4 linked regions of the Danio rerio genome follow. The protein of the gene in region 1 purifies or fractionates together with the protein of each later gene. This does not show direct contact. Links are inferred from orthologs where the notes say so. Each region holds a gene or a part of one and is shown in the gene's direction. Other genes may lie near its edges.

Region 1 (3,632 bases):
TTACGGTAACAGGGAAGATGACGAGGTCACTCTCTACATTGAAACCGATGTCATAGAAAAATGTAATTGATGTTCTTGGCTTGGTGAAAGATGAACAAACAATCCTACCCAAAACATGCTAAATTTGCCAGATCAGTAGTACTTTGCATCCCGGCTTTGCATTCCAATTTCTAAGTGTCTTACAGCCTACGTTTGTTATGAATAAATTAGGTTAAAACGCATATAAAAGACACATTCATGAAAAAAGCCAAAAGAGCTTTGTGCATGTGCACGTGAATAATGTAGGGCTATAAACAAGTTTGAGCTTTTAAAAAGCTGTCAATCAAAATGTACCTCTTAGGCTCGGGTCGAATTCAGTCAGGCTCAGGCTCTATCGGGCCTAACTTTTATGGCCCGATTACAGCTCTATCACTCCTGTCAGCCAAGAACTAGAAAACTTAGGCAACAATTGGCACAAGCTCACCAAAATTTGATAATAGAAGATTAGAAAATCGTTGCCTGCTCTGACAAATCTCTATTTCTGCTGCAACATGCAGGCCCCGTTTACACTAATGCGTTTTAGTTTGAAAACGCAAAAGTTTTGCTACGGTTACGCCATCCCTCCACACTACGCCAGAGTTCTCGAGCGCCGAAAACGGAGCTTTTTGAAAAAGCTGGAAAGGCCGTTTTCATTCTAAAACGCTGCTGCTCCGTCTCAGTGTGGATGGGTAAAGACGGAGACATCTGAAAACGGAGGCGGGGCTGCAAACGTTCGCCTATCTGATTGGGGCTTTTCCTCAATATTAAGTAGCCCACGCACAGTTCAGTCTCGCATCCTCTTCTTGTAAGTTAAGACTTCGCAAGTTTGATCAAGGCTGCAGTCTCCCCCTTTTCAGTTTGATATGGAAAACATACCGAGGACACGGGTAAATCTTCAAAGGGAACAGTGTACTTTATAACTTTATTCACATCACCTTGGCTACGTTGTTTCACTTTCTCAACAATAAAATGTAATCATTATTTAAGGAACTGCCTATTTTCTTTTTAATATTAGCAACTTAACTGACAGCAGAAATGTTGAGGCGCCGTGCTGCATATATGGGCGTCATCTTCACTGTGTGGATATTTATAACAAAACGGAGCCTATAACAACTGCCTCCTTTCAATTTCAGTGAAAATACGAAACGCACCCTCTCTTTTGCTGAATATCAGTTTTAATAATTGATAATTATAAAAGTATAACATACAATAAGTTTATACATTGTAGGAAATAAAGGCAAGCGATCAGTCAATGTACCTGGATTAATCATTAACTTATCTTTGCGCTTAACCAAAACATGTTACCCGTGAACAAGTAACTTAATAGATTCCAATGACCAAAGTCAGGGAATTGGCCTATGTCGTTAGATAAAGACAACAACATGAATGAAATATCACGTTTAGCAAATATAGTGGGATTAGATCCAGCGGGAGATGCTTGATGAGCAGTCCGACAAGCAGAGCTCTCATCTGGGTAGAAATGCTGGAGCGCTTGCCCGAGAGTGTCTGTGTGATCACGTGATGTGCGTTTTCAACGTTTTGGTGTGGACGGAGAGCTGTTCAGAAACGCTGGGTAAAACGCGAGTGTGGACGCGGATCGTTTTCATTCTACAACGCCGTTTTAAAACTAAAACGCACTAGTGTAAACGGGGCCTCAGATGGTAGGGTCAGAATTTGGCGTAAACAACACAAAAGCATGGATCCATCCTGTCTTGTATCAATGGATCAGGCTGGTGGTGGTAGTGTATCGATTTGAGGGATTTTTTTCTTTGCACACTTTGGGTCCATTAGTATCCAATTGAGTATTGTGTCTGCCACATCCTACCTGAGTACTGTTACTGACCATGTCCATCCATTTATGACCACAGTGTACCCATCTTCTGGTGGCTACTTCCATCAGGATAACGCGCCATGTCATAAAGCCAAAAAATATCTAAAACCGATTTCTTGAACATGACAATGAGTTCACTGCACTTAAATGGCCTCCACAGTCACCAGAACTTAATCCAATGAAGCACTTTTGGGATGTGGTGGAACGGGAGATTCGCATCATGGATATGCAGCAAACAAATCTGCAGCAACTGCACGATGCCATCATGTCATTATGGACTGAAATCTCAGAGGGATATTTCCATTACCTTGTTGAATCTATGCCGTGAAGGATTAAGGCTGTTCTACAGGCAAAAGGGGGGTCCAACCCGGTACTAGTAAGGTGTACCTAATAAAGTGGCCAGTTAGTGTAAGTACACGCATACGTTTTTATTGATTACATATAATGCAATCTTTTTTTTTTTTTTTTTTCAACTGATTTTTTTTTAAATCACAGTATTGGGCTTCAAAACAGAAAATGAAAAGTGTCACATTTTTATACATCTGTTATTTAAGACTTTTAAGTCTAAAAAGTCAAATAAAACATTGTTTTCAAAGTCAAATTGTCCTTTCATCAGTCTGTGAGATTTCCAGTATACAATATTATTGTATACTGGGTTTAGTTAACTTAATGCTAGTTGCTTTTTATTTTTTTATTTATGTACATTTTACCTGCGTATTTTACTTGCTTCTATGTGAATTAATGTCTGTCGTTTTGCAATTGTTATTAAACATACTCATTGCAATATTTCAGTTCTAAACTATGAAGATTTGCACCACTCCCATTAATTCACTGCAGAAACTGAAAGTTTAAATGGATGGTGCCTTCATGCCTCTGTTGCTGCATTGTCGATGCATATTCGACCGTGAGAGCTGAATGCACTTATGAGTCATTCACCCTGATATCATCTCAGACTATAAGCACACAGCTTTTCAGAGAATACACAGAATGTTACAGCATTGCAATCTTTTTCAGTGGGATAATCAGACCAAGTCATTTTAAAATTTTATTTTTATTTTGATTGCAGCTTTAAACGTTTATTTAATTAATTATTACACTTGAACTACCCTCAAGGAAGTCCTAGTGTCTTGTGAACAACACAAAGTCATGATGTAATTTTTTTTTTCTCTCTCTCGTCCAGCTGCTGATAAGCTGATCAAAATATGGGGTGCATATGATGGCAAGTTTGAGAAGACGATATCTGGACACAAACTTGTGAGTTCCTTGTATGTTTTGTTGGTATTTCTGTCATCATTGTTTCACTTCTATAGTGTTATCTTCATTTGCTTTTAGTTGTTAGCCTTATTTTATTTTCAGTTGAACTTTGTCTGTACAGCACTTTGGATTCAGTTATAGTGTTGAAAGTGTTCTATAAATAAAGTTGAGTTCCCCAAAAGATCTGGCTTCTCTGTAATGTTTTACTGTACCAGATTGCTGTTGTGAACTGGATTTCTTTCTCCTGCAGGGCATCTCAGATGTAGCCTGGTCTTCAGACTCCAACCTCCTGGTCTCAGCTTCTGATGACAAGACTTTGAAGATCTGGGATGTGAGCTCTGTAAGTTAAGGCAAAACTGAACATTCGAAAGAAAAATGTAAAACCTAAACTGATGAAAGCAAGCAGAGTGAGCATACTGATGCTATTTGCATTCTGTTAGAGTTATTTTCTCGTAGGTCAGTATAATTTTATCATCAGTTTTTGTTTTTGTCATCACCAGGGGAAGTGTTTAAAGACGCTGAAGGGACA
Region 2 (3,632 bases), on another chromosome or scaffold:
ATAGCAGCATTCAACAAGACAACCACATGAATTAAAAATGATACATTTTTTGATAGATTAAAAAAACATAACTTCCCCAAAGGTACACCTTCTGAATTGTACAGTGGAACTGTGTCTTGATCGTGAGTAAAGAAATTGTTTCAGTACTATTATTTAGGGCTGCACAATATATCGTTTGAGCATAGATATCGTAATGTGAAAATTCGCAATCGTCACATAACGAGTATACGCAATGTTGGGTCTGGATTATAATTTATCATTATATTGAGGGTTTTAAAAAGCATTTGGACGTAAGAAATTGTACTGTTTTTAACTTTAAATTAAATGAATAGCGATAAATTCTATTGATTTGTTTATAAAAAGAAGACTATGCAGAATTATTTTACTTTTGACTATTCAATTACTGTATACCTGAATACATTTTGACTCCTCGAAAAACAATTAAATGCTGTTCTTATCTTTTTTTTATTGAATTGTTCTATGGTTATTTCTTATTTTATGCATGCACTCCCCTACAGATTCATCCCAATCAATCTAAAATTTCAAATTCTTTCCTAATAGTCCAGTGAAATTGTATTCAATCACACACTACTATATCGCAGAATAAAAAAATATTGCAATGTTAGATTTTATTGTCAATAAAATTATGGTCAACTGCTCGGATACCTTCAGTCAATATGTGGCTGAGTGATCACAATTTTACCACTGGAAAAATTAACCTACTCAGGACTTCTGGTGCATTTGGTCCTCCCTCTAGATTTTTCTTGAGGGCATTCAGTGACTATGTCTTTCTAAATTTAGTTTATAATTTCCTTTTATTTTTTTATTTTATTTGTATGCATTTTAATGTCTAACAAATTTTAATGTCTTTTATTTGTATGCATTTTAATGTCTAACAAAAACTGTCTGTCTGTACTTGTTACGAGATACAAGTACCACTGTTGTTCTGTTGAAAAATTTTATTAAAAAAATAAAATAAAAAAGCTTTACTTATGCTATAATGACACAAGAATTTAAACACTATGAATTTTTATTTTATTTTGTGTCACTGACAAGAAATGCTTCATGTGGGTTGTTTCTGTGTTTATGTTAATGCTTTCGAAATTAGTTAAAAGGAGCATTAATCAATAAATATGATTTATGGCTGCTTTAAAACTGCCTTTGTTGAGCATTTTTGTGCTTGCAGGTTCTTTTCATAGACGAGGTCCACATGCTGGACATAGAATGCTTTTCATTCCTGAACCGAGCCCTAGAGAGTGATCTTTCTCCTGTACTCATCATGGCTACCAACAGAGGCATCACTCGGTATAACACAAAAACAACAACAACTGCCAGATGATAATAATATGGGTTATATATTAGTATATAGTAGTCAATAATAATATAGTCGATGATAATAAAGTGGGTCATTTGTCCTCATCCACTGTCGTTTCCTTTTAACAGAATTAGAGGCACCAATTACCAGAGTCCTCATGGTATTCCCATAGACATGCTGGACCGTCTGCTTATCATCGCTACTACTCCTTACACAGAGAAAGAGACCAGACAGATCCTAAAGATTCGGTGAGAGTACGTTCATGTATCATATCAAATCTGTGAATTTCGAGTTTTGCCTCATTTCTTGCTATACACACCTGTGCTTTAGCTGTGAGGAGGAGGATGTTGAGCTCAGTGAAGAGGCACATACAGTTTTAACACGTATCGGACAGGAGACTTCACTCCGCTACGCCATCCAGCTCATCAGTACTGCAGGCCTGGTGTGCCGTAAACGCAGGGTAATGTCAACACACACACATGCACATTATGGTTGTGCTACAAAAAATAATAATACTGGAAACAAGCGTTTTTTTTGTGTGTGTTCTGATTGTGATCGTACATTTCTCACAGGGCACAGAAGTCCAAGTGGAGGACATTAAAAGGGTTTATTCTCTCTTCCTGGATGAGGCCAGGTCCTCACAGTACATGAAAGAGTATCAGGACTCCTTCCTCTTCAATGAAACACGTAAGATTCTTCTCTACTTTACATAACCTAGATTTCTGGAGATCTTGCAGCAAAGAGCTATCTTTACAAAAACTGTTCTCTCCAGCAAGCACATGCTTTAGTGCTATTTTGACGCTGTACCAAAAGTGTTACAATTTGATTGGTAAATCATTTCTATAAGAGTTTTTGTATACTGTCTGTATACTGTTTGTGGTAGTTATGGCATTCTACTACTGAGCTTACTTTCTTTTGGAGCTGTTTTTATTTGTGGAGCCTCAAAAACTCTTAGTGACAATTTACATTTATGTTCTTAACCCGATTATAATTAATAAGCAGACCACATATGTGATCAATGATTAAATATGTTAACTTGTTTTTCTTTACTGGCGTAAGATCTTAACAATTGACTTAAGAATAAATCTATTCATGCAACTAGATTGATGCCATAAGGCATGTAAGCACCATGAACTGCATTAGCGCAATGAAGTGCGCATGTGTAATATATGACAGGAAAGGGGCAGATCTATGTGCATTCAAACAGCGCAAGTGTTTTGCAGGAGTGGGGAAAATATTTTTAATAAATTAAAAAGCAGTTTACATATGTTGTCATTAATCTGAGCCTTAAATGTAAATCTTGCCAAAGGGAAAAAAATATTGGATGCAATCTACATTAGGCTACCCTACTTATTGTTAGGCTATTAAAGGGGTGGTCCACTACGATATTATATTTTAAACTTCAGTTGATGTGTAATGTAGCTGTGTGAACATAAACAGCATCTCTGAATGTAAAATATTCAAAGTTTAATGCAAAGGGAGACCTTGATTTGTACAGAGTTAGCTTAGCAACGCCTACAATTAACGAATTTTGGGGACTACAAAAAATACTTCCGCCCCCTGTGAGATCACAAAAGTTCGTTATTGCGCATCCCACACTGCGCAGGTAAAGGCCGTGGCCAGAGGCGCTGTAACGTTACTGCAGAGAGAGAAATGCCATCCTGCTGTTTCCACAGAGCTGTTCTGTTTCTGTTGTTGGGCTTCCAAATGACACGACCCAAACACAGAAGTGCTTACAGTTCAATATTAATTATGTTCCAGAGAACTATAAAATACATAGCAAGCATGATTTGACAAAACACAGCTTCCAGAATCTCTCCCAGTTCAGTGCTGGATTCAGTTAAAATCTCCTCAAAGATGGAGCAAGGAGACGCTGTGAACTCTGAGTCATGACCTGTAAGTGTTTTTATTTGTTAAAATTGATCATGACATGTACAGTGTCTAACTTTAACGGTGTGTTGTAGCAAAGATGTAAACAACGGGAAATTATGGTAACCGCTAACGACTTAGCTAACGTTACAAATCCATATTTATCAAACGGCTGTAAACGCACACACACACATACACATACACGCACTCTTGGCCAGCACCTGCGTCTATCTGTGGGAGACGGCAGAGTTTCTCTCTATAGGCAGCTTTGCTATGCGTTTTACAACTCGGACAATAAAGTCGCAAAAGATATGTGAACGATTCATGTTACTTACACAGGCATATTCCCCATATGCATGAAAGACGTCCTGTAACGCATTGATTTAAAAAAAATACAGCAATGATTTCCCAACTGGAGTGTAACATCAAAAACAAATCAATCCAGGCT
Region 3 (2,802 bases), on another chromosome or scaffold:
CAGAGATGTTCATTTTGATGAGATGTATTTATTTTTAAATGATTGTAATTTTCAGTGGATTCTGCAAGCCTTCCAAATATCAGCAATGTTATTTCTCTGGCGGAGAATCTAGTAGTACCACGGAAAGTTGTGGAAGATAAACCTGTTTTCCAAGCACAGCCAACATCTGTGGACAATCAGCAGAATTCTTCCAATGACAAAATTCCAGATTTGGAGCAAAAGACTGATGAGGCTCCATCCACGAATGTACCCAAACAATCAGTCGTAGAAGATCAGAAAGGTGCATCTGTACCCAAGTCCAACCCAGAAGTGCCGGAGAATAAGAGTCCCGATGACAGCGATGATCCTGAGGATGAAAATTTACTGTCTTTGCTGGATGAACTTGTTCTTCTTAGCCAACAGTTGACTAATGAGGATGAAGATGAGAGAATTGCCGTGCCAGGTGATGTACAGTCTTGTTCTGACAAACCGGAAGATCAAGAACCGGCAGACGACCGAGCTCTAAGTCCTTTGTTCTTAACTCTAGATGAAGATCTGATGTCCCCAGACTCTAAAGATGAAATCGATATCCCACCCAAAGTGGATGACCTGGTCAAAGTTATCTTTGGGTCAGATTCCCCTTCGGTTTCATCTGAATCCGGGGTTGCACAGTCAACAAATGCTTCAAGCCCACATGCATCAACATGCAATGCTACAGGTGATGGACTTACTCCCCCACCTCTGTTGCACATGAAAGCTGCATATGAAGCTGCATCAGGCCAATCTGCCAATGAGGGAACCAGTGTGACATGGCGGCCTATGCCTAAACTGGTTCCTCTAGGGTTGAAGGCTCAAGATGCTGGTAAGGTAATCAATCCCTCAATCCCCAATCTGGACTCAAGTGAGCAAGATACACCACAAATGTGATCTACCAATCATTGAATCAGGTACAGCTGCTGCTCATGTTGTTTAATGTACAAAATAGGATGTGTTTTTATATGTATTTATTTTTTTTGTTTGCTGTGTAAGACGTGCTGCCATGGGCACCACATATTGTGCCTCTGGGATATCCAAAGACGTTTAGTCAGTTTTACTTTATAATTTTGGCGTTATTTTTTTGTTTATTCTCAACATACTTGACCGGCAAGACGTCAATTGAATTGTCCTCTTGTATATCCACTCTTTGTGGCGATAGTCGAAAGAAGCCGTTAACTCATTCTACCCTCCATATTGGAGCTTGTTGTTTATTTCCCACTGGAGCTCATTAAAAATAAAAAGTTACTTGATCTTTAAACATAAGATTGTTACTCCCTTAGCGCCATCAAGGTGAACGGATAACAGTTGTTTCCGCTGGAGTAGGAGGGCGTTTTTTCCGGGTGACCTTTTTAGGAATAATTAAATTTACCCAGTGACTTTTATTAGTAAAGTGGTTTCACCCGTGACTTTATCTGCTAATGAGATTACTCAAATGCCATTGTCTTTACATCTAGCTAAAACATCACTGTCTGTTAAGCCCATTGAATGCATGTTAAGGCAATAATACCTGTTAAACCTTTCTGGAACAACATACTATTCTTTCAGAAGTTGGGTATATACATTAAAAGTTTATATTTTATGTTGAGTGCCTTTCAAAAGGTTCTTCTGTATGCATATTGGACCATAGAAAGGTTTTATTGTATTAGTATACCAGGAATAGTAATGAGAACATAGGAATACAAGAAAAACTTTATATCAGCTTTAGTATTTGCTGCGGTTTTTGAGGTGTTACTACTGCTGTTTTAATTATTTTGTCTTTTTGTTTGCTTTAAAAAGAAATCAGGAAGGTTTGAGTGTTTCTGGCATTTGAACGTTTTAGATGTGAAAACCTGTTCTTGCTTCACCCTTCTCCTCTTTAGAATAAATTACACGTTTCAAAGGGTTTTAACATTTAAGTGTAACACTACCAGCGAGACGGTTAGATTCCTCATTTTAAGCTTGAATATATATATAAAGTTCTCACTATGCAACTGTTTTGCTTTAGATTCAGACAAGACAGATATCGAAAACAACACTGCATAATTTCATTAAAACAAGATGCTATGGTCTTTCCTGCATATTTAATGCTAAACTGTTATATTTTGTAAATAAGTTAGCTTGGTAAAACCCTGTATATTGGCAAGGGAACTCTTCTTGAATGTTGTAAATATGTAAAATTATTCCTTTTGTTAGTCTGAAAACTGTCTGTTAAAATACTTATTTTTATATGCTATTAATCAGTGCTCTCTCACCTTTGTAAAAGCAATGGATATGTCAATAAAGTCTGTGAAAATATAGTTTTTCTCGCATCTACATTAATGCTTCTGTTTTTTAGGTTACAAATGGTTTTAATCTTAAATAAAAAGCATATCTCTACATTGTACTTGGGTATATGTTACTTTTAGGATAGCTTTACAAATAGTTCAGACATTAATAAATACCTTAAAGATTCAGAAGTCATTTTAAATCGGATACAGACATCAGAGAATTTCACAAATGGCTAATTATCAACTGATGGTCATTACCTTGCAACCAACTCCCCAAAGAGAATACGTATGTACTTCCAAGAAGAATCAGAGTTGATATAAAGCAGTCGACAATCAGGTGTACCCAAACCTCTTTCAGATTTCTCAAGGTAAGGTACGTCTATTGTTTATTGCATCATTGGCTTTATGTTAAATGATCCTGAAACTCTGTTGACTTCATCGAAACCAAAATGATGAATTATTTACAAGAGGTAGATATCTAACTTTACCTTTTTTTAAATTTACAAATGATATAGACCGAGCCGAAGACATGTCGGCAGTA
Region 4 (3,632 bases), on another chromosome or scaffold:
AAAACTAAGTACACTTACTCTACCTGAAAAATGACATGTTTTGTATTTGTAATGTTAATATTTGTTCTGTTTTATCTTTATCAAACAAATTGACAGGGTTTTTCATCTATGCCCACTGCATTTGTTTTTATTTTTAAAAAAAGGTAATCAGTTTGGCTGTACTGCTCAGTATACTTGCAAAAAAGTAAAACCAACATCACAAAGATTATGTGGAAAAAATATTGTGGTATTTTATTATTATTATTATTATTATTATTATTATTATTATTTTTACATTTTTGGGGTATTGCCATATATTCATTTAGTTTCAAGTTAAACTCCATTTAAAAAGGTAAAAATTATGGTTAGATAGATGGATTCATAGATAGATACATAGAAAGATACATATATGTCTTACTGTGTCAGGGAAGGTGAAACTAATCTCTGTTAATGAATAGGTCACGTCATTGACCCATCTAAAATGCCATTATTTTCTGTTCTCCCTTTAGCTCTTCTGAAACACTGGGGTTGTTGGTGTGGCCAAATTTTCCCTGGATTTGATTGGTAAATTCAGAAGACTGAAGCCCAGGCTCACAGTCTACCTTTCACGGAGGCCCAGCCGTGAGAGGACAGAAGAAGGCACGTGGCGAATCATGACTGCCGACAAAGAGAAAGACAAAGAGAGGGAGCGCGACCGGGACCGGGACAGAGACCGTGAGAAGCGGGACAAAACACGGGAAAGTGAGAGCTCACGGCCCAGGCGCAGTTGCACGCTGGAAGGCGGCGCTAAGAACTATGCAGAAAGCGAACACAGTGAGGATGATGACAACGAGACACCCGGGGCCGCCACCGCCGAGGAGGCCACTAAAAAGAGCAAGAAGAAGCTGCCCAAGAAGAAGTCACGCTATGAGCGGACGGAGAACGGCGAGATCACTTCCTTCATTACGGAGGACGACATTGTTTACAGACCTGGTGGTGAGTTATGCTTGTATAATCTTTATTTAGTATGTCTGGATATCAAAGTTTACTTTAATACACTATAAAAAATGATTAAAAAATCCCTTGCTTCAAAAGTGGCAAGTTGATTTTACTTAATGTTGGTAATTATGTTGTATTTAACTTAATGGTTTGAGAATTACGTACATATCACCTTAGCATTAAGTAAATGAACGTAATGCTAAGTATGCTGAGCTTACTCACTTTTTTCACAGTAAACTAAACACTTTTCACAGTGTATGGACCCTATAGAATATGTTGGGTATGCTACTGTTAAATTGATGATTGATTAATTGATCATTATCCTTTAAATCAGTATACTATTGATGGTCGATTAAGTGTTGACGTCTCTGTTGTGCTTGTTTTTGAGGTGCATATGACAATGTGTGGCAGATTTGACGAGAACATGAAACAAGTAGACATTAGTTTAGTAACTCCAGTACTGTGCTTGTAGAAACAAAATGAACAAAACCTTTATACACACATTTTTTTAGCTGTACATTCTAGGGGTGTAACGAAGTTGTAATTTGACACACATCTCGAACTCATAATATGACATCTTGAAAATGCATGTTAAAAGTGTAATTTGCATATGGTGACATGGTATAAAAAATACATATCATGTAAGTCTGCTGTTGGTTAAAATGCTATATTTTGTTTAGACTTGGGGTGATGGTCTGGAATAGATTGTAAATTGATCCTGGTCCTCATTGCGCAAGACTGATGACATCACAGTACAACTATTCATAAGTCTGAAGGTTAATTCTTAATTATGCAAGACACATATGGTTTAGGGGTGTGACAAGTCGCTTATTCCACAAGATGAGACTCAAGATTGGTTCACGAGAACAAGATTTTTATACTATTTTTAAGAAATCCTCAATGAAATATATGAATGGTAAATATAATGTATAATTCAACTGAATAAAAAAATCACAAAATACAAAAACTTTTTAGGTGTTTTTTAAATAAACGTGTAATAAAATGTATTTTACTTCTATTTTAATGAGTTCCATGCAGTCAATGACATGCTATTGTCAACTCACGAGACAACTTTTCACCTCAACGAGAATTCTTGTCACTATTTAATCTCACAAGATCTTGTAACGCGAGATCTCGCCACACCTCTAATATGCTTGTATTCTGTCATTGACTATATATAGATAGACCATTTTCACTGGTAAAGTCAGACATTTGTCATTATCAGATTCCCTGTTGCATCATTTTCAACGTTATATAGTCTACAGTACTTATACTGATGCTGACACTCTGTAAACATTTGTTCTCACTCAGAACACACACACATGCTGTCAATACAGGCGTTCACCAAATCTACAGAAAGCAGCACGTACAACTCTCTCAGTGTTAGCTATGAAAGAGTACATCATCTAAAATCCGTGGAGTTATCATACATCTAAAATGCTATATGGTAATTTAAATGATCCACACACTTTCAATTTGCTGAGTGCCACAAAAACACATATTTGGCAAATCATAATTACTACCTGTTTGGCATTAGAGGATGCACTAAGGTCTTATGAAGCAAAACGATCATTCTGTGCAACAAACTGAACATTATTTACAACTCTATTATCTGTTATTCACAACCTAGGCAAACGGTTCTGAGCATGCTCCCTGAGTTAGGCTTGACCATCCAACAAACCCAAGTGCTTCAGCTTATATGTGATTTCAGTCATAAGTCATCATTAGTCAATGCAGTGCATGATGAAATGTACATTTTTGGTTGAATTTGGATATCATTAAATACAGTAAGCTGACTCTTGGGTAAAATTAGCTCAATATCTCGAATCATATTGTTTACATTAGCAATGCACATTCTGTTTTATTACACCCCATATATTAGCACATACAGTTAACTGTTTTGTACTACTTGGTTTACCCTCGAGGTGTCAATTCTAAGCCGATCTGTTGTTTTACAGAAAAATAAGGGTGATAGATCAACAAACTAGGGCTGTACAATATATTGTTTCTGCATCGATATTGCTATGTGATCATTCGCAATAGTCACATCACGAGGATACACAGTGTTGAGTCTGGATTATAAACATCATTTCACAAATGTTTTTTGGGGCCTGTGACTGTGGGTTTTAAAAGCATTCAGGGCTAAGAAATTGTACCCTTTGTAATTTAGATAATTCAGTTGTTATTAATTTTTCAAACATAGACTCTGCAGTATTATTTTACATTTGATTATTTAATTATACTTCTGAATTCAGATAGACTCATCGTAAAACAATAAAATGCTGTTTATATCATTTTTATCTTTTTTTTTTTCGAATTTATCTACGCTTGTCATTCCAATCTGTCTAAAATGATGAATTTTTTTTAAATAGTTATCCAACTCATCTAGTGAAATTGTATTAATATCGAAATATATATCGCAGAATAAAAAAACCTAAATGTTAGATTTTTTCAATATCATGCAGCCCTTCAACAACCACTAGACAACAGTCTAACCACTGTAAAAACAAAAGGTATCAGCATTGATGAGCGCTAGCGTGAAAGGATTTAACCCCATTTAAATTAATTTAAAAGCATCTTTATTGCTCATTTTAAAAATGCACAGACAAAAGGCAAGAATAAATCGTTGTAGCGTGCATGTGTCAAGTGCCGGTGTTCATGCAAGCTTTCAAATA

The links.
Region 2: the proteins of wdr5 (region 1) and ruvbl2 purify together in Homo sapiens (affinity purification with mass spectrometry; 3 studies listed by BioGRID and IntAct, with this or other methods). This does not show direct contact. The link is inferred for Danio rerio from reciprocal best matches to the Homo sapiens genes WDR5 and RUVBL2.
Region 3: the proteins of wdr5 (region 1) and mgaa purify together in Homo sapiens (affinity purification with mass spectrometry; 5 studies listed by BioGRID and IntAct, counting the BioPlex papers as one, with this or other methods). This does not show direct contact. The link is inferred for Danio rerio from reciprocal best matches to the Homo sapiens genes WDR5 and MGA.
Region 4: the proteins of wdr5 (region 1) and rerea purify together in Homo sapiens (affinity purification with mass spectrometry; 5 studies listed by BioGRID and IntAct, counting the BioPlex papers as one, with this or other methods). This does not show direct contact. The link is inferred for Danio rerio from reciprocal best matches to the Homo sapiens genes WDR5 and RERE.

What each region holds. Positions count from the first base shown.
Region 1 is NC_133196.1:19,684,629-19,688,260, forward strand, and holds part of wdr5 (WD repeat-containing protein 5), read left to right. Parts: intron 1-3,029; coding exon 3,030-3,103; intron 3,104-3,353; coding exon 3,354-3,443; intron 3,444-3,603; coding exon 3,604-3,632.
Region 2 is NC_133180.1:31,383,089-31,386,720, forward strand, and holds part of ruvbl2 (ruvB-like 2), read left to right. Parts: intron 1-1,186; coding exon 1,187-1,305; intron 1,306-1,443; coding exon 1,444-1,563; intron 1,564-1,645; coding exon 1,646-1,775; intron 1,776-1,887; coding exon 1,888-2,002; exon of another isoform or gene 2,003-2,687; intron 2,688-3,632. UniProt on the Homo sapiens protein: Possesses single-stranded DNA-stimulated ATPase and ATP-dependent DNA helicase (5' to 3') activity; hexamerization is thought to be critical for ATP hydrolysis and adjacent subunits in the ring-like structure contribute to the ATPase activity.
Region 3 is NC_133192.1:11,779,106-11,781,907, forward strand, and holds the end of mgaa (MAX dimerization protein MGA a), read left to right. Parts: intron 1-55; coding exon 56-906; 3' UTR 907-2,289; downstream 2,290-2,802. UniProt on the Homo sapiens protein: Functions as a dual-specificity transcription factor, regulating the expression of both MAX-network and T-box family target genes. Functions as a repressor or an activator.
Region 4 is NC_133198.1:25,758,148-25,761,779, forward strand, and holds part of rerea (arginine-glutamic acid dipeptide repeats protein), read left to right. Parts: intron 1-488; 5' UTR 489-632; coding exon 633-954; intron 955-3,632. UniProt on the Homo sapiens protein: Plays a role as a transcriptional repressor during development. May play a role in the control of cell survival. Overexpression of RERE recruits BAX to the nucleus particularly to POD and triggers caspase-3 activation, leading to cell death.